3 linked regions of the Mytilus edulis genome follow. The protein of the gene in region 1 interacts with the protein of each later gene in a pairwise test. Links are inferred from orthologs where the notes say so. Each region holds a gene or a part of one and is shown in the gene's direction. Other genes may lie near its edges.

Region 1 (7,466 bases):
TATTTTGCTATACAGATAAAGCTATACGTATAAACGTTAGTTTTATACGCCAATGACCTCAACTAACCTATAAGCCCCGCCTACTTACCGGAACTATTGTATTTCATCAACAACGTCACGTCACAACCATGACAACGTGTAGTAACAATGGTCAAACCTTTATAAATCTTAACTTGTTATGTCTTCAAATTGGTAATTTGTATAGCATGTTTATTAAATATTATTAATTAAATTCATTTTCCCTTTCTAATTCCTTAAATTGTCAATGTTTTACCGCCTAGACTACGCTCATAGGGAAATACCCCAAAATGGTACCACAAGAGGAAAATTCCAAACACTTTTTGTAACAATATTTGTTACATATTTTTATTTTTTTTATCGATTTCAGTATAAAAACAATATGCATATAGTGTCTTGAAATATGCAATTTATTTGTATTCGGCACGAAACAAGGGAAATGCTCGGTATAACCTTGCATTTCCCCCGTTTCTAAGCCTCATACAAATAAATTTCATATTACAAGACACTATATGTATATTGTCTAACTATCATTTATTTCACCCAATATTTGAAAAGTGTAAAAGTTTTAATAAGAGAGCACACACTGAAATATCTAACTAGGCTACTTGTTATTGAATTCATGTTGAAAGTCTGTAACATGAATGTTTTACTACAACTACATGTATTAAGTAAACTTATCAATGTTCTGTGATAATGAGGTCAAGGTCAGATGCACCAGGCCAGACAGACATGTACACCTTACAATCCAAATATAGTTAACCTGTTGCTTGTAGTATCTGATAAACTGGAAAAAGTTGGGGAAACTGATCATAGACAAATAAACCCTGAAAATGAAGTCAATGTAAGATAAGAAAAAGCCTGTCTCTCAAGTAATTAAATGGTTTCTTGAGACACAAAAGGCTCAAAACCAATAAATAAGCCCACATATACTTACTATTATTTTGGTTTTGTCATTTTCTGGGTTTGATATATGGAATAAAACTCCATCGAAATCTGTAAAACATAATTGAAACAAAAAATTAACACAAAAAATGTTAAAAAAAACTATTTAAGTGATTACACTGTCATACAAATATTATCTTGCATCTGGAGTGATTTTCATGAAGTTTTAGGATGCATAAGTAAAAAAAACAAAGATAGCACATATGCAATAATAATTTATGAAAATAAAGTGATGCTGTGTTTATTTTATTTAACAGCCGAAATAAGTTGATGTCATGAGTAATTTTGTTAACATTAATGAATAAGCATGATAAGTGCAGAGAAATATTTTAGATATATTCTTTTTCTTTGCTATACATGATATACATCTACACCTTTAAACATATTTAAAAGTGTATTAAAACTATCTTATGATTTTACAGATTTCACAAGAGATCAAATTGAAATAAAAAAAACGTACCTGCAACAGTGACATCAATTGATTCTGGTTTGTTTCTAAAATAAAAAAATAAATAAAATAAAACTTCACTAAGACGATGCCCTAAAGGAGGCTTGAATTAAGTGCAGCAACATTAAAGTGTGATTTACAGTATATAGTTCATGTACCAATATACTATGCAAAAGAACAAAATTTACTTTTGGGTAGTTAGGCTACTGAAGGTTCTTTTACTGTAGTTTTAATCAGTTTTCCCAAGTACATTCATATTAGAAAACTGAAGTGATTCAAATATAAACATAAACATGATGAACATAGAGCTCAATCTCAACAGACTGAATAATATCTAAAGCAAATATGTAATGTTAAAAGGAAACTAAAATGGAATCAACACATCAGATGTATAAATTTTAGATGAAGTGTTAGTTTCCATACTTCTCATAAAAAAATTTTGTACTTAGGTTTGTAACAGACTAATTGTTTAAAGTCTATTCTGTGTTGTACGGGGTTTCCGCTGACGGTCGCCATTTTAGCAATTTGCGAAAAAATAATAATTGTGGCGATTAAAATTCGTCATTGGCGAAAGAATTTGGCGAAATTAATATATATAACTATTTATTTTCAACCATCTCGTTTATTTACTTTTTATTTCAGGTTTCTCGGAATTTACCTGATCAGACAATTCTCGGAATTCACCTTGAACTCGATAAGATTTTGACAGAAAATCAATAATCAGCTGATTGCATTTGATAGCAATCGACATCAAAGGACTAATTAATAAAGGTGTTGATTGACAAAATGATATGGTTAAATGGCGCCCGTCACATGTTTCATCAAGGATTATTAACCACTTTGCGACACACATGTTTGAAGCAAAATTTTGACGACTCTTCTCCTTCTTTTAATGATAGTCCAGAAAAGAAAACTGTTGTTATGACAAAAAATGTACAAAAGCCAGAAAGGTCTCTGATTTTAAAACTATCATTTAACTTCGATATCGATAATTGATTTGAGTGGGTACTTCAAAGTCGTTTCAGTGACACACGTGCGAAAAAAAAAAGGAAAATTTTAAAAGAAAAATATATTTGTGTTACTTGGCCAAAAAAAAAATAATGTGGCGAAAAAAAATATTGTTTTGGCCAAAGAGGTGGCGAAAAAAATAATTGACCCAGGGGAAATCCTGGTGTTGTAAACCTTTATATTAATGAAGCACTAAAATCAACACAAAAACTTGTTAAAGTCTTAATCATACTTGCAGAAAATTCTATCTCAAAGTCCAATTGGAAAAATGGTTTCAGCATTGTAATAGGAAGGGGTCACAGATTTTTTTTTTAAATAACCTTTCAAGACGTCAAAACTATTTGGACTAATGAGTAATGAAAGGGGAAATCATCATAAATTTTTCCTAGGCCTTATCAAAACAAACTTTTGTCTAAACAGTTAATGTTAAGAATAATAGAAAATAGTGTGGGCAAAACAACCTGCGGTCAAACTGCCCAGGTTGTGAAGTGGAAACTTCTTAGAAGCCATTATTTGGTCAGATCATGTTTTTTCGTATATCATATGAATTCATATAAATTTTAATGCATTCTTTTTTAATGGAAATTGTGATGTCACAATGCATTCTCAATAAACGTATTTACACTTTAGGTATTTAGCTGAATTTTGTCTCCAAATGACCGTAGATCGCCTCCGAATAACCTTTTGATGTCAAGCAACAATCACTTTTTTATTGTGACGTCAATTTTTTTGAATTGTTATGTCAAAGTTTACGGGAACCTGTGTGATTCTACGTAATGGCGGACAAATTTCCATACAAGTGTAAATACGTCTATAGTGCAATAACCAATGAGACGAAGATACTATTTTAATTTTTTTTTAATTTATAGATATAGGAAGATTTGGTGTGAGTGCCAATGAGACAACTCTCCATCCAAATAACAATTTATTAAAAGTAAACCATTATAGGTCAATGTACGGCCTTCAACACGGAGCCCTGGCTTACACCGAACAACAATCTATAAAGGGCCCCAAAATTACTACTGTAAAACAATTCAAACAGGAAAACCAATGGTTTTATCTATATAAAAATCGAGAAACGAGAAACACATATGAATTACATAAACAAATGACAACTACTGTACTGTGTACTGTGTACATGTACATCAAATTCTTTATTTAAAGTCGAGTTGCATTCCAGACTTACATTGTAGGACTACAAGTCATCCTACGATTTTGTTAATACATATTTTCGAACATCCTGGCACTTTAAATTTCTAGGAGGTGAAATTCTCGGGATTTTACCTCAAACTCTATGGGAAAATACAATTTTTAATTCCAATTTAAAACCAAACGGTAAAATTTATCACACAGATTTTTAAAACACATGTCTATTATGATAAGGAGATTTGAAAACACGATCTCAAATTTAATTTTAATGATTCAACAAAAAATTAATTGAGTTTTAAGTTTGTGTACCTATATATGGTAAAACCCGAAGATTTGTCACCGCTTCAACTCCAATATTCAAATAGATAAACACAATGTAATTATCTGATTGGTCAATCTTCAGCTGTGATGCAAACATGAAATTATGTATATTGTCAATTTTATAGATCTTGCATTGTTTATATTTTTTGCTGTAAGTGTAATGCCAATTTATTGCATTATACGGGTAGTACTGATACTGTGATACATCGAAAGAACACGGAAGCATGTACTATACCGGGTTTATTTGTAACGCCCTAAAACTATATCCCTATACAAATCTAATGAATCTATTACCCTTCTTTTGCATTTTTGAATCTTAAATTCAGTGTTTCTTCAACAATTCGGTTATGAAATTCAAGCAAAATCATTTTAGCAGTGACTTATTCCTCTGAAAGAAGGGTGGGTTATTCCTTATTCCGGAACTGTTGTTGATTTCCAACCTTGCCTTTGTAACACTTCTTTTCATTGGCCAATTTTTGTACTGGTTACCGGAGACTTGTAAAATTATTGCGTTTGCTCTAAGTGTGAATCAAATAATTGCCTTACCAGATGGCAGTTTTGATAAAGGTAATTTTATTGGATAATCTAATTCTGATTTGAAAACAGCCGGGAAGACGGAAGTTGCCTTTAAGGCTTTATCAAGAACTTTTGAATGACAATAGTTATAAGTAACAGTTAGGTATACTAAAAACATAGGTATTTAAAAGTAGAAGAATATTATTGAAAAATTTCATGGGTCATTCAAAGAAATCCATGGTAAAAAAACGCCCACATCGGTCACAGAGACTCGGTGAGACAAATGGAGAGACAGGCCATAACACAAATCATTGTGTACTGACTCATTCTTGGATGAAAAATAAAATTTTAACACTTAAACAGAATTACATGTCACAGGGTAATATGGCCACTTAATCTTTGTAAATTAAAATAGGGCGTTGAATATGTGACGAAATATAATGTTGCAAACCATTTATTTCACACTGAAAGTACATAAAATATTAATTATAATAAACATTTATTTCAAATGTTAACTTGAAGTTTCCTTCTAAATTGAACTATGAATTGGATAGAAGTACATGCATGTTAAGGCCTAAAAAAAATGTGATTACCTGAAAGTAGGGAAAAAGTTAGGGTGTCCCTTATGTAGCGTGCATGCTTAAGTGTGTGAAACTCGCATTAGTACGAGTTCACCGTATATATAGTGCTAGAAAAAGTGGCGGGTTGCATGCATAATAACTTCGTGCAGAGTAGTATATAGAGTAAAGTCTTTTTCTAACTGTCCGTCAATGAATGAACGTAGTAAATATATAGTACACACAACATATAGTGTAGTACTAGTATATAATTGTACTCTAATAAATAGCTACGGTGACATACAAATGTACATATATCCTTATCTATCTCCATTTCCGTATTTACCTTTGCACATGAACGAGGTAAACAACTGTAATGGTGGTCACTTTGTTTACTTGTCTATATTCTATTTATTTGGGGATATTGGTTAACTTTAGAATTACTTATAGTTCCGTAACTCTTTCTTCCGAGACCGGCCATGAAATTATCCTTGTCGGGACTTCCTGTTCTGGCACGTGCCCGGCCGGGCTCGTTGTCCATAGGAACTATAAGTATGACGTCACTCACCGGGTTCTGGGCAGTCTACATTAAGGATTTAAAATGAGCAGACGCTCATATCGTTTGGCTTTCAAATATGGAACGTTATAAGGACAAGTAGACTAGCCACCACCGTATTTTAGTATATTTATTCATGTAATCGTATGTTCAACCATAATGTATGTCTTCAAATAAACATCTTGTTTATATTTACGTAGTTTTACGTACTTTGTCCAATATCCCAGAACTTGGGTAGACAACGGGAAAACGAAGCCAGTGGAAACTTCCACTCCCGTTACATTGGGGGCTCGTCCGAGGGATATTTGAGGACAATAACTTAAACAAACATTGTGTTTGTACATTATTTCGGCGATATGGTCGGAATAAAAGGTATTTTTGTATCCCTAGGAGTCAAAATCGAACAGTTTATTGTTCGTCTGCTTGTCATTTCCGCTGTTTGTGCCGGTCCGACAATGACCAGTACTGCATGTAATATCGTTTTTTTACAACAATACAATTAAAGGTGACTTACCTTCAGAAAATGAAATTAGAAATCCAGATTTTAAATTCCAAATTGGAGCACAAGGTGAACATTTTGTTCACGTTCCAGAGGAAATATGCTGGTCTTGCATAAGAGGAAAACAAACACAACATTTTTGTGTACACCACATCAAAATAAAATATTTAGCTGCATTTTATCGTGGTAGAAAGCTTATTATGGCTTTTCAATTTCCAGGAAGTCGGCGATTGTTTACGCCATGTTTACAATATGACGTCATATTTTCGACGTCAAAGCACCTGCCATCTAAGGAATGTTTGTATGGAGGTACCAATGGGGAATACTCATTGTCGTTCTAACCATGAAAAAGTTGTTTAATTTGTTAGTTTTGTTTATTGGTTCGTATTCATATTTATTGTCATAAATGGATTTGGAAAATCAAATAATTTGTTTTGATTATACTTCAAATTGTTTTGGATTAAAAAGTACATTTTGTACTTTGTACTTGCATTTCTGTCATGCAGTATTGTCTGCATATCTATGTCTTGTCAGTGTGGATGTAATAACAATTATTTACCTTTCTTGCATGGAAAGGAGGGAATTAACAATACTCAAACTTAAAAGTGGTACCGTAAGTCATAGGCTATATTGTGCCATCATGGATATTATACTGGAAATTTGTCCGGTTTATTTTGATATTGTAAAAAGGACTAAAAGTACAGTTTTTGTACTCGGTTATATTTATAATATAATATCTTGATATTTATTTTAACGTTGATCTTTGGAAATAAACTGAATTATCTCAGTTTGGTGGGATTGTTACGTCAGTTGAGGAAAATAATACTGAATCTTTTCAGTTGCTAAGCAATGTGGCTTAGGTAAATGTAGAAATTGTGGATATAGCGAGGATTTGGATTAAAATGACATTTTTGTCATACAGCTGGAATAGGGTTGTCTGGTACGAGTTGTGACTAGAATAAAGATAATAGAAGAACGTACACTCATTATCTTAGCTGTTGTTGGAAGCTGCTTTCGGTGGTGTATACATATAGAGGCAATTTTGGAAATACCTTAGGTGCTAGAATGGCGCGAGAATAGGTGTATATTTTGCGTATACATTTTTATTGTAAACCTTAATTGGTTCACCATGGGTATGTTGTCCACATGACTAAGAATATTGTTTGGGGATTGCTGGAATACAAGGAATGATTTATTATTACAGTTCAATTGTTTTATATGACTTTCTAATTTTTGAATATATTTAATAAACAAACAATCAGTTTGTATGGATTTCAGTATAGAAATGTGTGTTTTATATGGTTAAAGTAATACCATGGGCTATATGCTTTCGGTGACCAATAAAATTACATATTGGGGCACCCGATCAAGTGGTGCAGTACTCGTGTATGATAGACTTTTAAAGACTCTTGGTGAGTCAGGATTTTATAAGAAGAATGTGCTTCTTAA
Region 2 (8,026 bases), on another chromosome or scaffold:
TAATGCCTCTTTGGGGTTTTATGTTTTGTTCTGTTTTTCAAATACTATAAGCAATACATCAATTACAATTGGTGTAAGGAAAGATTATAAGTTGTACATATGATTTTGGCAAGTATAATCTGACCATGACCTCCTTTTCATGGTTCATTTAGTTGTTTTTTTTGGGTCTGTTTTATAATACTATAAGCTATTTGTCAACTATATTTGGTGTATAGATTGATTGTGAAGTAGTCATGTCTTTCTGGCAGGTGTCATCTGTCCTTGACCTCTTTTTCATGGTTCAATGTTCAATGTTTTTCTGGTTTAATCTGTTTCTTAGATGCTATTATTAATAAGGTCAACAATAATTGGTGTATGGAATGATTGTGACAATTATTGTAAATTTTTATGTCTGTCCGGCTTGGTTTATAAATTATCTGACTATGACCTCATTTTCACAGATCATTGTCAACTTTAAATAAAGGTGATATTTGTAGTTAAACATTTTCTTTAGGACTAATAACATTAAATCAATCCTGGTTGTTTAAACAGACAAGACATAACAGCCTGTGCACTTTTCATGTAATTTTTACCCAGAGAAGTGAAGGAAGATTCTTTTCTACAGCACCATCAAAGAGTCCTCACCTGAAGACACAATCACATTAAATGGGTCAATATCATTTTGTTTATTGTGTTGTTGGTTTGTTGTTCTATTGACACATATCTCCTGTTCATATCTTCACATCAAATTATTTTCAAAACATAGAATCTCTAATTAAATTCATATTCACAATTTTATAACTTCTTTCCAATAGATCAATTTGGCAAATATTTTTTTTATAAACAATTTATTTTCTTAGTCATAATGTTGGATCTATAAAAATGTGGAAATAAATAAAATATATTTTTTATATAAATTAAAACATGATTCATTGTTATATTATAATTATATACTTATTTTGTGTTAATATTCCTCTGTTTCTTTATCTATATACTTTAATTGACAATCAAATTGTCTTTGAAAATTTTCTAAAAATGGTTTTACAGCATCATTTATATTAATATCACAGCCCTTTTCTTTACTAAGAGACGTCACATCTTTTCCTTTTAATCCACAAGGTACTATATGTTTGAACCAGTTCAAATCAGTATTACAGTTCAAAGATACACCATGAGTTGTTACATATCTGCGACCATGAACACCTACAATATAATAATAATTGATAAAATATAAACAAATTATATTTGAGCATTGAGTTTAATGCTACAAAATTTACGAATTGTTTCTAGCACTCATTAATACACAAAAGAAAATCACACAGACTAGTAAACTCACAAAAAACTGGTACAATTCATTAATAATGGATGGATTGTTGTTTAATGTCCAGTGGCAAATTAAATGCATATTTGTAGAGTACCGGTACTAATTGAGAAATTCGTATGACGTTATGAAACATAAATTGTAGCTCAAAAATAAATATATTCATGAAATTTTAACTTCTGTAAACATGATAAAAAAAAATTTTTTAATCAAAAGTATACAAAACAAATAAAGTGTTTGATCATTCATTCCTGCATCAATTTTTAGTAATTTTCAACTGTGCAAAACATCAAAATGAATGTCTTTCACAAATAATGATCAATAATGGTTATAAAACCAAAAGTAAAACTTTTATTTTTGCTTAACATTAGCCATGATAGTGTATCTTGATGAATAGCTAATATTGATGGTAAAAAAGACCTTTCAGACTTACCAATAGCTCCAATTTTCCTATCTCCAATCCATACTCCTGTATCTTCTGTTGTATGGGCATTTAGACCATAATATTTACAAGTTCCAATCATTGTCTTTTCCATGGAACAAATATACCACTTCATATTTGGTGTAAAATATTTTAGATTTAAAATTGGATAAGCAACAAGTTGTCCTGGTCCATGATAGGTAATTAAACCACCTCTATCTGTTCGGCAAAATTCAGCACCTAGCTTTTTAAGTTTTTGTTCGTATTCTTCCGAATAGTCTTTAGATCTAATTCCAATGGTATAAACTGGGTTATGCTCTACAAGTAATACAACATTTTCTCCATTTGAACCGTGTACTCCTGCCATACTGTCTAAATGCTGTCGTGCAAATTTGGTCTGTACCTTATAAGCATCAAGGAATCCCATTTTTCCAAGATTTAATACACTCACAATCTTGCTGTAAGAGCTCATCATGACATTTGTCTGTAATGGAAAAAGCTCACATGTATTTTGATAATCATTAATGACATTATTCTAATACCGTAACTTGAAAAAAGATTGACGAATTGATATAATTTAATCTAACGTAATCAAGCTGTACCTTCTCCATTAGCTATTTTTCTACATTTTGTCAATAGCCTGACAGGTCATACATTTGAGGGTGGTAATGGGGATACTTTCATGACGATAAACGGTAAAAATGCTTGCCAAATGACGTTATTTGTAGTTTTTAGTGCGTGACAATAAAATGTACACTTGGTTTAGAGGATAAACCAGATGCTCCCCAGGGTGCAGCTTTATACAACCTCAGAGGTTGAAACCTGAACGGTTGGGCCAAGTATGGACACAACATTCAAGCTGGATTCAGCTCTAAATTAGATTGTGATTAAATAGTTGACACAGCATAGGTTTCTGACACAGAATGAATGTGGTCTAATGAACTTAAAATTTTTGTTTTGCCTTTGAGCAATTCACTTTGCCCCCCCCCCCCCCCCCCCCCCCCCCAATTTTTTTTGTTCACATCCCCCTTTCCTTTATTCCAAAACCAATCTCAATTCAAATTTCTAATGGAGTTTGCAAGAATAACTACTCATTTAAGTACATCACAGTCTTCACGCTGAACTGCTACATCTACAGGCCCGCAGCTCAATTTTAGAATTTTTTTTTTTTTTTTTTTTTTTAAATAATATCTTTATTGCACTTTTCTTTGCTGTTGTTACAAATTACTCGACCTACAGCGGAAATTTTTAGTTAGATTCTGTTGGCCTGTAGGTCTGATTTTTACAGGCCCAAGAGCAATTTCACCAGCCTGGGCTGCCCAGGCTGCCACTCGGCGTGAAGACTAACATCATAAAATATTAAAAAAAAAGTGCTTGTTATCACTGAATGGTAAAGATTGTTTTAATTTATCAGTTGATAGTAAAAGTGAATATACATTGTATATTGTATAAAACAATGATTTAAGTTGATTCAACTACTATTCTGGACAAAGAAAGATAACTCTAATTGAAATTTCTTGCTATTGCGCAATACTGTGCAATTAGATATTTCTTGCTATTGCGCAATACTGTGCAATTGAAAATACTTGCTAATGCACAATACTGTGCAATTGAAGATTTCTTGCTATTGCGCAATACTGTGAAATTGAAAATTTCTTGCTATTGCACAATCCTGTGCAATAATTGCCTCAGTACTGTGAAATTGAAAATTTCTTGCTATTGCACAATACTTAATATAATAATTTTGGATTCTGATTTGGACCAACTTGAAAACTGGGCCCATAATCAAAAATCTAAGTACATGTTTAGATTCAGCATATAAAAAAACCCCAAGAATTCAATTTTTGTTAAAATCAAACTAAGTTTAATTTTGGACCCTTAGGACTTTATAATGTAGACCAATTTGAAAACGGGACCAAAAATTAAGAATCTACATACACAGTTAGATTCGGTATATATATATCAAAGAACCCCAATTATTCATTTTTTGATGAAATCAAACAAAGTTTAATTTTGGACCCTTTGGACCCCTTATTCCTAAACTGTTGGGACCAAAACTCCCACAACCAATCCCAACCTTCCTTTTATGGTCATTAACCTTGTGTTTAAATTTCATAGATATCTATATACTTATACTAAAGTTATGGTGCGATAACCAAGAAAAATGCTTATTTGGGCCCCTTTTTGGCCCCTTATTCCTAAACTGTTTGGACCTCAACTCCCAAAATAATTACCAACCTTCCTTTTGTGGTCATAAACCTTGTGGTGTTTAAATATCATTGATTTCTATTGACTTAAACTAAAGTTATTGTGCGAAAAGTAAGAATAATGCTTTTTTGGGCCCTTTTTTGCCCCTAATTCCTAAACTGTAGGAACCAAAACTCCCAAAATCAATCCCAACCTTCCTTTTGTGGTCATAAACCTTGTGTCAAAATTTCATAGATTTCTATTTACTCAAACTAAAGTTTTAGTGCGAAAACCAAGAAAATGCTTATTTGGGCCCTTTTTGGCCCCTAATTCCTAAAATGTTGGGATCATAACTCCCAAAATCAATCCCAACCTTCCTTTTGTGGTCATAAACCTTGTGTTAAAATTTCATAGATTTCTATTTACTTATACTAAAGTAAGAGTGCGAAAACTAAAAGTATTCGACGCCGACGCCAACATGATACCAATATATGACCAAAAAATTTTCGTTTTGTGGTTGTATAAAAATAGTCTGACTTTGATTAATCTCGTTAAATTATTTCAAAAAATAACAGTAACGGTAATTATTTGAGACCTCTGACAAATCACGATAAGGATATTTTGACGAATCACGTTAAAAATTTTACCAATTTGATGCTTACGGTAGCCGAAAATGACCTTTTGACGCCTGACCCTAAAGGGCATTACTACCCTCAGATATACCCTCATAAATTATTGATTTTAATAGATCAAGTAAATGGTTGTAATTTTAGAGATGATATCCTAATAAATATTTTTTTTTAATTGAGTAGTTAAGATCACTAGTTGATAGCTGGGTCTATAAAATAAAAGAACAGAGATTCAGTGATTTCAGCTTTGCACATATTTATCTGTACATCGTGGATTTTGGATCAGAGAAAAATTAACGGCTAGGCTTGGGTGAAATGGAATTAAACAGAAATTACCAAATCTTCGAATTACCAGTAGGAATGTAATTCAGACGACCAAATTATTGGACCGGATTTGTATTTGTTGACATTTTTCTTGACAGCATGCTACTTCCTGTTTTTGTTTTGAACTATGGGAAATTGTCTTCAAATTCATTAGCCAATCAAAAATGCGGTTTGTTTGAACAGCGCCATTTTCAAGTGTGGAAACAATGTCGGAGTGTAAAACAAAGCCCGACGTACCCTTAGATGATGGCACGTTGTTATAAAACTTAAGTTAAAAAGCCTCATATTATATTCAATGTACCAATGATGTTATTGACGTAGACAAATCAGGGTTGCACTCTTGTCAGACACAACGATCCACAAAAAGCACAACCCACTCTTCTCTTTTTGTTTTCCAGTCTCGAGAACTAAATATAAATATTGTAATACTAGCCACTTTACTCGATTTATAAAAAAAAGATATGATATGAATGTCTGTGTGACCACTTTTCACCGGAAAAGAAAATATGTTGTATCTTCAATAGTGAGCAATGTCAAATCATAGATATAAAAGCCATATAGATAAAGTACTGGACTCACATCAAAAGCAGATATTTTCCGAAATTTTATCACCCTCTTATTAAATACATGTCACGCTTGGTATTAATTAGCCTTAATTAGCCTTTATTGGCAATTGCCGTCTATCGATATCTTGTAAACAGGGGCGGATCCAGGATTTTCGGTTAGTGGGGGCGCAAACTTAAATTTTTTATCGAAATTATTGAAATATTCTTCTAGAGAGGATGCAATTTAGATATCTTGCCAAGCGTGGCGAGAAATAAATATTTTGTGGTAAAATTAGCGTGAAATTGAAGTTTCAAGGTAAACCCGCATAAATCCACCCCTGACAATTTGTAATCACTATAATTAACAAGAAATCTGCGAGCTTCTATTCATTGACTCAATGATAGCTCACCGACCAATATAAGATTTTGAAAACAAGAATTTCTACTTTTGCCAGCGATTTTTAATTGTCTTTTCTTCTATTTCCGGAGGTCGTGTCAAACTTTTTATATACATTTCTACCGCATACAAGTAAAATCAGAATGAGGTCCTTGCGAAGATATGTTTATTTTCGTGGGATCCTATGTAATACGGTAGTACGGGTTGGGGGCGTTCCCCGTTTATGCATGCTTCGGCAAGGTAAACTTTACAGGTTGAAAGTGAGAAACACTAGTATATTGATATCATACAGAGATATTAAACAATGATACGAATCAATAAACGAACCTTTCGCTTGAACCAGCATTCCTATCTTTCATTAAGAAAGAATTTAAACAGGACCGTGCCATAATGAAATAACCAACCCAACCGCGGGTAGGGCACTTTCGACTACTTCGTGGAAAAGTGAGGTAGGGTTGTTTTTGAACTTATCAAAGCAATTGTTTATAAAATCCGCAACTACCATGTCACATTGTTTTACTTGAACTGCTAAAAGCCTATGATATTTTTCACCAAACGCAGTACCGCGATGAAGTATAATATATTTATAGAACTTATAAATAAACCGTAGGTCAGTTTATTAGTAATCACATTGATTCTGTTAAACTTACTGTTTTATATACTTCTTTGAATGTTAAAACAGATGCAATGCGACGAGATTAATATTCGTTGTCTGTTCAGATACTTTATTGAGCTGAGGACAACCCATGCTTTGCAAATTTTAGGGGGGGGCGCATGCCCAACACGCCCCCGCCTAAATCCGCCCCTGGTAAATTGTGAATCGGGGGAGTTATAAGTCATTCTTCGGACAAGTTCGGTAGTTTTGTTATCTTCCTGTACATAATTTTTTGGAATGTTTATATACGTGCTAAAAATTCATGTCGAGGTGATCGATGTATGATTACATTGTTCTTATAAGTCCCTAATATGCATCAAATATTTTCCACTGAACGTTGTGAAATCAAGGATCATATAATAAATCACTGTAATAGAAAATACACACAACTAGTTTCATACCAAATCAAAGACGTTATAAAAATAAAGTACACAAAAAGTATGTTGACAACTAAACGGTCAGACTTGCAGAGGGTTACATTTGTATATAGCCATATTAATAGTACGAATCACACCCTTAACAAAATTCTAAGAAGGATATATATTGTTTACTTCAAAAATGAAATAGACAATCAGTTTAAACCATCCGCTATTTAATTGCAAATCAAGCAAAAAAAAATGTAAGCAGAAAGGTATTATATATAAAAGAAAAAAATCAGAGACATGATAATTGTGCTATTTCCCAATTATTTAATGTATGTCAACCACTAACAATTTCTTCACCAAACGGCGTTTTAAAATTTATAATGTATTCATTTTTTTCTCTGTATTTTTCAACACTTGTAAAAGAAAAAACATTTTGTGTTCTAAAATATAATAATTTCGTTTTTCTGGTCTAAAATGTGATTACACTGTTTTGAAACTTGATAAAAAAAAATTGTCTTTAATAAAACGCATAGAAAAATTTGACCAGGTTTGACCTCTTACCCATGTATACCATCAGTAGTTGATGTGTCTCTTCTTGTCAATCATACAGGTCTTATTTCCCGAGTGCAACCGATGCAAGTGCTATGGCAATTTAATTTTAAGTGCCTGTTCAGTCCATTTTCCATAATTTCTCTATTTTATTATCTCCCCCCCCCCCCCCTCCCCCCTTGCTGCAGATCATAAATGTAAAATGATAAAAACTAACGACCTTTAATTAATGTAAAAAAATGAATGAAAAACAAAAGACACACTGCAACAAACGACAACCACTCAATTACAGAACAGGGATCTCCATGGCCTGTTTAACGATGGCGCCCCGCCATCGTTCAAATGTCTTGCGCCATCGTCAAATGACTTGCTCCATCGTTAAATTGCCTTGCGCCATCGTTAAATTGTCTCCGCCATCGTTCAAAACTTCATCGTATTTTGTAGCCCGACGCCATTTTTTTTATCAATTATAATCAAATGCATGTATTTGCATAACCTTAGGCTTTTTATGTTATAATCCAGTACAGTTCTAACGCCTGGGGGATATCCGGATTAAGATCGCTAATCACTTGTACCTGAGCTTGTACAGGTAGATCAACAAACTAGACAGGAGAATACTATCTGAGGATAGACGATCCATTTGTCGAATTAATC
Region 3 (7,242 bases), on another chromosome or scaffold:
TAATTGAGATTCAAACCGGGGATAAATTGCTGATTGATTAATAAAAGTAACATCATATTGCATTACAGACATAAAGTATTTAGTTCCTGCTTAAATTGTGGCACCCACTGTGTTGCTCTTCAGATGCAAAAATGTGTTCCATGTAATTTTTGTGATTGGCCATATTGACCAGGTAAATTGATAACTTCTTACTTGTCTATGAGTTTACAAATCTCTTTAATTCCAGGCAGTTCACATATGTTAGGAGCTGCCCTCTTCCTTCTTGCATTGAATACTCGGCTAACCTATATGGGAAAACAATCTATATACTATAAATTCAGAAATTATTGGGATGTTTATACTAATGAGAATAATGCGACTAGATGCCTTATGCAATAGTAAGAAGTGGCATTATGATATCATATGCATATGTCTGTACTCTGAAAAAAGTAAAAACACAAAAATACTGAACTCCGAGGAATATTCAAAAAGGAAAGTCCAAAATCAAAGTCCAAACACATCAAACGAATGGATAACAACTGTCATATTCCTGACTTGGTACAGGCATTTTCTAATGTAGAAAATGGTGGATTGAACCTGGTTTTATAGCTAGCTAAACCTCTCACTTGTATGACAGTCACTGAAGGCAACTTTTCATGAATCACAATAATTAATCTTGCATTTTCATTCATTTATAAAAAAAAAATGGCAATAGTAAATGCATGCAATTAGTCATAAAGGTGGATTATTGCATGTGAGGTAAGTATTTTAGGTCATAATAAACAAGACTTTCTAAATTATTTTTTTAACATAATTTGATCATTTGAAACACTTTCTTAAATACGTCATCATTTCTTGCTTAAAATTTTTTAAATCGTAAACAGAGTTTTTTTTCACTGATTGAAATACTTCATATAGTTTCTTGAAATTAGATCAAAGCATTCTTAATCTTTTACACATTATGTGAATATACAGATAGACAATGATTAATAAACATAAAACATCATGTCTATGAAGGGCATTATTGAAATAACATACCTTTGGTTTTGGAAACAGGTGGCACTGTTCTTCTCCTGTATCAGTGAAGCAAAAACCAAGTCCTTGACAGGCTTCATCTGGATTGTATTTTGCTGGTAATCTAAAAATAAGATAACAATAAATTTAGAGTTTATCAATTACCTACATGCCAAATAATTTTGTTTTACAAAATTAGTATAAGGGACAGGGATAAGTACCAATACCATAGGCGGATCCAGGGGGCCCTGATGCCCCCCCCCCCCCCATTGTGGGAAAAATTTGGTTGGTTATATAGGGAATTACTGAAGCATGACTGGAGCAGGCCCTCCCTTATGAAAAGTTCTGGATCCGTCACTGAATACATGTACTATGGAACAAAAAAATCTTCAAAGAATAAACAATGAGTCTACAAAACATACACTCTTTGTGCAACCTGACTAAATTACATGTCAAACAATTTGAAAACTCAAAATTGAAATACAAAGGTTTTCCTACTACCTATAAGGTGTAAATGACCTAGCTTAGTTAGATTTGACAAACTTTAAAAAAAAAAAAAAAAAAAAAAAAAAAAAAGGTTTATAATGGCCTTCAACTTTGTAATTAGGTTAACCTTCTAAATATTTGGTTCAAGTGCCACTATTAGAGATTATATAGACCAGATGCATATCTGGCATACTAGTTTATAAGCCTGGTTTCTTTGATGATATTTTCTCATGAATAATGTCCTCTCTGTAAATCCTGTCACTAGTTACATGGCAATAACAAACATCAGGAGCCTGTAATTCAGTGGTTGTAGTTTGTTTATGTGTTACATATTTGTTTTTCGTTCATTTGTTTACATAAATAAGGCCGTTAGTTTTCTCGTTTGAATTGTTTTACATTGTCTTATCGGGGCCTATAATAGCTGACTATGCGGTATGGGCTTTGCTCATTGTTGAAGGCCGTACAGTGACCTATAGTTGTTAATGTCTGTGTCATTTTGGTCTTTTGTGGATAGTTGTCTCATCGGCAATCATACCACATCTTCTTTTTTATATCTATTTGACCACAAAGCACAGAATATTATGGGGACGAAGTCCCCAATAACAGTAGAAAATTCAATAAAAAAAAAAATTAGGAAAATTTCCCGAATTTTTCATTGTACTAATGAACTCAAAATCGTTCAATTTTTTTTATGTCATGTTTTGAAATCCCGGACCTGCGCAGAAATGTACAATGTACTTCCTTTTTCCGGTCTCGTTTGTATGAAACTTTGAGTAAAATATATATTTATCAGTCTAGTATAAAATAGGAAGGAATGCGCAATACCAATTTCATTTTTAATAATTCCTTGATATGAAAAAATGTTACCTGATGATAGCGTTTCTTTGTTTACATTGCATATGACGTCATGACTTAAATAACGTCACAACTAAAATCCCTAACAAAAGAACCAAAATCGGAAACGTTACGGTATTTCCGTTTCTTTTTCTTAACAAATATATAAATGTAAGTTACAAAAAAATAATTCATACAGACTTCGTCCCCATTTACAGGTAATGCCTGCCTCATATTAATACTTACACACGTATAATCTCATATGCAATGTAGTCTACAAATACTTTACATGGTATTGCAACTGCAGGTGGTAAATAATTGCAGAACCTTTCTAAAGATTTTGTTACTGTTTCATTGTGTATAGTTGCTAGTTGTTCTCCAAATGTAAAAATAACAGTACATGCTGAAAAAAGAACATTTTCATTTTTAAACACATTTAGCTTTACATTTTCATTGTACATCTAACGTCCCCAATCTAGAAAGACAAATTCAAAACACATCGATCTTTTGATTTACTACTTGATGTTAAGCAAGAAATAATAAACCAATCCATCTTCTGTATTTGTACAAGTCTACAGAGATGTTCAGAAAAAAAGAAAAAAAATCACTTTAAGTTTATGTCAATGACTGTCTGACACTAAGATAAATTCAAATACCTTATTTCTGACATATACTTTTATATATATGTGAAATAATTAAATAAGATTGCAAACATGTGAACAATAATCAAGACAACCATTTCTAACAATTGTTCCAAAATAGTCAAATCTTAAAAGTTAGTGTTTGACGATACCTTCTTTCCTTTGATTTTTTTGTTTCAGTAATAAGAGTCTAAGACCTAATTAGACCTTTTTATATGTAGGGTCTTTCTTCATCTTAAAATGCTTATTCTAAATTTTTGCCTTGGCTCCTTCCTGTGACAATAAGGGATAAAAAATAAAAATCGAAAAATACCTTTTAGCAGACAGCATCATTATTATGGGGATGAAGTCCCCTATAACGGTTGAAAAATAATTAAAAAAAAAAAAAAAAAAATCGGGAAAATTTCCCAAATTTTTCATTCTACTTATGAACTCGAAATTGTTAACTTTTTTTTCAGTTTTTTTCAAATCCCTGCATCTGCGCAGAAATCTACTTCCGATTCCGGTCTTGTTTGCATGAGACTTTGAATAAAATATATATTTATCAGTCTAAAAAAGGAAATCAATACTTATTTTTTTTTTTTAATTTGTTTGTTATAAAAAAAACGTTACTTGATGACAGCGTTTCTTTGTTTACATTGAATATGACTTCATAACTTAAATAACGTCACAACTAAAATCCCTAACAACAAAACCTAAATTACGATATTTCCCTTTCTGTTTTTAAAACATTTGTGAATTAAAAAACAATCATACAGACTTTGTCCCCATTCACAGGTAATGCCTGACTATTATTAGGACTACTATTATGTGTGCAAACAACTAGTATAACAAATATTTGTTTTGTCATCAGTATACCATGTAAAATAGAATAAAATAAAGTATATTGAAGAGTTAACAAATAAGTTAATTCTATCAGTTTACAAAAGTACTAAAACAGACTTTGTCCTCTATCAGATAATAGCTGTCTAGACAGATATGTAACTGCTGTAGTAAAATAATCTGACCCACTGTGCAATACTATATCATAAATGAGTATCTAATTATCAATTGAAACTTACTGGCACAGTTGGTACCACCATTCGCGCCGAAATTTAGAAAGTTTCTCGATCTAGATGCTTCTGAACCATATAAGCATATAACAAAAACAAGGACAACGGCAACTGCTTTCCCAAGTGACATTTCTTTGGATTTTTTTAACACCTTCTGCAAAGTCACATGACCACCACGTGACACCAATTTCAAAGATCACTTACGAAAACGCATTGTAGATCGAGATCAAAATATTTGAATTTTCTCGCAGATGTTCGAGATTTCACGTTGTTTTGTACCGCCAAATTTGAATTGGAATGGCTAATGTTACCGAAAATATTTGAACATAAACAGAATTTGTATTTATAATGGACCCGTATACAGAGGTAAGTAAAAACTACAGAACTGAAAAGTAATGAAATTTGTATTGTCTTAGTTGTGAACATCACACAACTCACCAAATGAAAAATATTGACCAGACGAGGCGTTGTTTTGAATATTTGATCATATTTGCATTGTTGAAAATTCAAAATAAATAACATGTGCATGGTTGGATCTAGCTATTTTTAAAAGTGGGGTTCCAACCCAGGAGGAAGGATGAGAGGGTGGGGGTTCAATCATATGTCCCTATTATTATTAAAATCCATTGATCATCCAAAAAAAGGGGGGTGTCCACCTGGAAACCCTCCCCTCCCGCTGGATCTGCCACTGATGAGTATGATTTGTCTGTAAACATGATAAGTCAAACTTATTTCAAATTCCACCTAATAACGAATGCCAGAATTTAATCTTAAATTTGAATAACCTTATAGTTATATGGACTGGAGGGGTGTTCATTTAATAGTAGACAAATTACTCGTCATTAGTCATCACTCACTCTTTAGTCTAGACAAGTTTAGTAGATTTACAGGGGGTCTGTCTTATCCAGCTTATATCATTGTAATGATTACGCTTGTAATTTCAAGTTTCGTGCTTGACATGTTTTCTGTGTCAATGCTTTCAAACAATCTGTCAATCCTGCATCATGCTATATGCTATTGTTGTGATCCCGAGTATAACTCAAGACCGATATATACCTTGGATGGTCGTTCCTGCAGTCAGGAACGGCCGATTGCTGTTCTAGTGAATTCGTCTGCTGTATAGCCATTAATAGTTTCAACCGGAAGAGAATGGTTTCTGGGTAGTCCTTCGGACATCTCTAGATGGTCTGTCTGATGACCTAAAACTAACCCTCCGGATACTACACTATATTTTTTTATAGACTCCTATCAGACTCACTTAACTTTGCTTTCAGGATTTGGAGGTCTGGCACCTTTTTTGTGTGCCCAATCCATGTAGAATCACTTTCATCTACATGTACATAATTTTTTTGAGACCTTTGAAGAATCAGGATTTGTCTCTATAAATGATAGCCAAAAATGAAGGTTTGATGCTTGACGAGAAAGGCCATTACTACCCTCTTAATTGGTGCTTTCTCTCCAAATGAATAACATCTAGAATTGGTATCTTGTAATATGTTTTAACAATAAATGAATATGTCTGTTTAATTTTGATGCTTCACAACAGAAAATAATGTTAAAGCTTGAAACTATTAATTAAGGTAAACTTATTTCTTCTTTCAGCAACTTCTAGAGAGGACGAGACAGAGAAGAGAGATGTTGAATCAGAAAATGGGGAAAACCCCTGAAGTAACACCTAGAAAAAGATTCCTGCAGGATAATACCACAGACAATTTACCACAATCTGATACTAAAACTCTCATGAAAGAAGGTATTTAAATTGTTATATGATACAAGTAGTATTGGTAGTTAAATATTTTAACTCATGTACAAGTATGTCATGCAAATATACACAAAAAACCTACATGCTTGTTTTCTTTCTACTGGCTGCAGATGAATAGGATAGGTTGGTACATAGTAGGTAAAATGTTTTCTTTTCTTCAATAATTTGCGTTTGAAATATTGGGAAATTTCAAATGTTTTGGGCGTAACCAAAAATGTACATAAAATTTGTCTGGGAAGTAAGGAGACATATCAAGCAGAAACAGAACTATAAGTTAACATGTATAGTTTTAAGGGAAACCAATTTGCAGTTTTTAATAGATGTACATATATATCTTGACATATGCATATCTAGAAAACTGGGTTAAAGATATGAATATATTTCATGGTATCTGGCCAAATTAATTTTGACTTTACTGTCACAGTGTTTTAAAGTGACATGCTGAATCACTGTGTCTACATGTATATGTCATTGTAGTGGTCATTTCAGTTCACTCTGTTTAACTGTCATGGAGATTTGTAGGGAATTGCAGAATCACTTTGTAATGTACAAAGGAAAACAAGAAGGTAGATAAATAGAATATTTAAATTGTATGAAACTTTGTACTTTTAAATATGCAAAAGAATTTATAATTGGGTTAATGTTGTGTTACAAATTTTTAATACCACTATTTCACAGTAACCATATTTTTTTCAGCATCCCCTGGCAAGAGACAGTGTGTGAGAGAAGATGAAATCAATATAAAGCCAGACACACCAGCTATTAGTAGTGTGAGATCTAGAATGCATAATTTGACACAACAGAGAACCGATTGGTCTTCAGGAGGTATGAAATAATCTTGTACACAATTTGCATTTCTTTGTAAAAATTAACATCATAAAAGTAGCTCAAAAGATAAGAAAAAAACATCAACCTGATTTGTGCAAATATTACATTATGTACATTAAATGAACAGTTATGACAGACTGCAAGTAATAACCACAGGAGTACTGTACAGATTTCTGATTTGATCAGGCCTAAATGTGGAGGAGCCAGGGTAATGCATGTTTGTGGGCACACCATGTCATAATCCCTTTTGAAATTTAGCTTCCATTCCATATTGTTTGAAGAATCGTTGCCTCTAACACAGGCAACAATAAAGATCAGCTAACGATTTTCACCCAAAAAATCTTACAGAAAAATATGTTCGACTTTAAATGTAATTAAATAGTAAAACAAATATTGGTCCAAGCCAAAAAAAAATCTATAAATGATTCCTCCCCACCCAAGATAAAAGCTAAAAAGAGTCCATCTGTTAAATTAAGAAAATGAAAGTTGTAATTAAAATGTTGGCATAATTTTGAATTTAGATGGAACAGATTCTGACAATTCACATCCTAAACCAGTTCCTAGGAAGTCTTTACAGAATTCCTTAGAGGAGGAAGTAGAACCTCCTAAAGTAGAAGGACAAAGGAGAGGGCGACTAGCTAACTTA

What was found.
Region 2: the proteins of rac GTPase-activating protein 1-like (region 1) and protein ECT2-like interact in a two-hybrid assay, tested with the Drosophila melanogaster proteins (2 studies listed by BioGRID). The link is inferred for Mytilus edulis from reciprocal best matches to the Drosophila melanogaster genes tum and pbl.
Region 3: the proteins of rac GTPase-activating protein 1-like (region 1) and anillin-like interact in a two-hybrid assay, tested with the Drosophila melanogaster proteins (2 studies listed by BioGRID). The link is inferred for Mytilus edulis from reciprocal best matches to the Drosophila melanogaster genes tum and scra.

What each region holds. Positions count from the first base shown.
Region 1 is NC_092345.1:92,660,128-92,667,593, forward strand, and holds the start of rac GTPase-activating protein 1-like, read left to right. Parts: upstream 1-4,444; 5' UTR 4,445-4,568; exon of another isoform or gene 4,569-4,585; intron 4,586-7,466. Other genes in the region: actin-related protein 2/3 complex subunit 2-like, read right to left, coding at 956-1,014, 1,424-1,458, 4,184-4,257.
Region 2 is NC_092346.1:78,100,351-78,108,376, forward strand, and holds the start of protein ECT2-like, read left to right. Parts: upstream 1-5,013; 5' UTR 5,014-5,067; coding exon 5,068-5,110; intron 5,111-8,026. Other genes in the region: octanoyl-[acyl-carrier-protein]:protein N-octanoyltransferase LIPT2, mitochondrial-like, read right to left, coding at 944-1,182, 1,734-2,205, 2,324-2,332.
Region 3 is NC_092348.1:40,061,369-40,068,610, reverse strand, and holds the start of anillin-like, read left to right. Parts: upstream 1-4,229; 5' UTR 4,230-4,354; coding exon 4,355-4,372; intron 4,373-5,608; coding exon 5,609-5,756; intron 5,757-6,464; coding exon 6,465-6,593; intron 6,594-7,117; coding exon 7,118-7,242. Other genes in the region: acyloxyacyl hydrolase-like, read right to left, coding at 193-284, 1,018-1,117, 2,560-2,716, 4,016-4,136. UniProt on the Drosophila melanogaster protein: Required for cytokinesis. Essential for the structural integrity of the cleavage furrow and for completion of cleavage furrow ingression and proper formation of the midbody.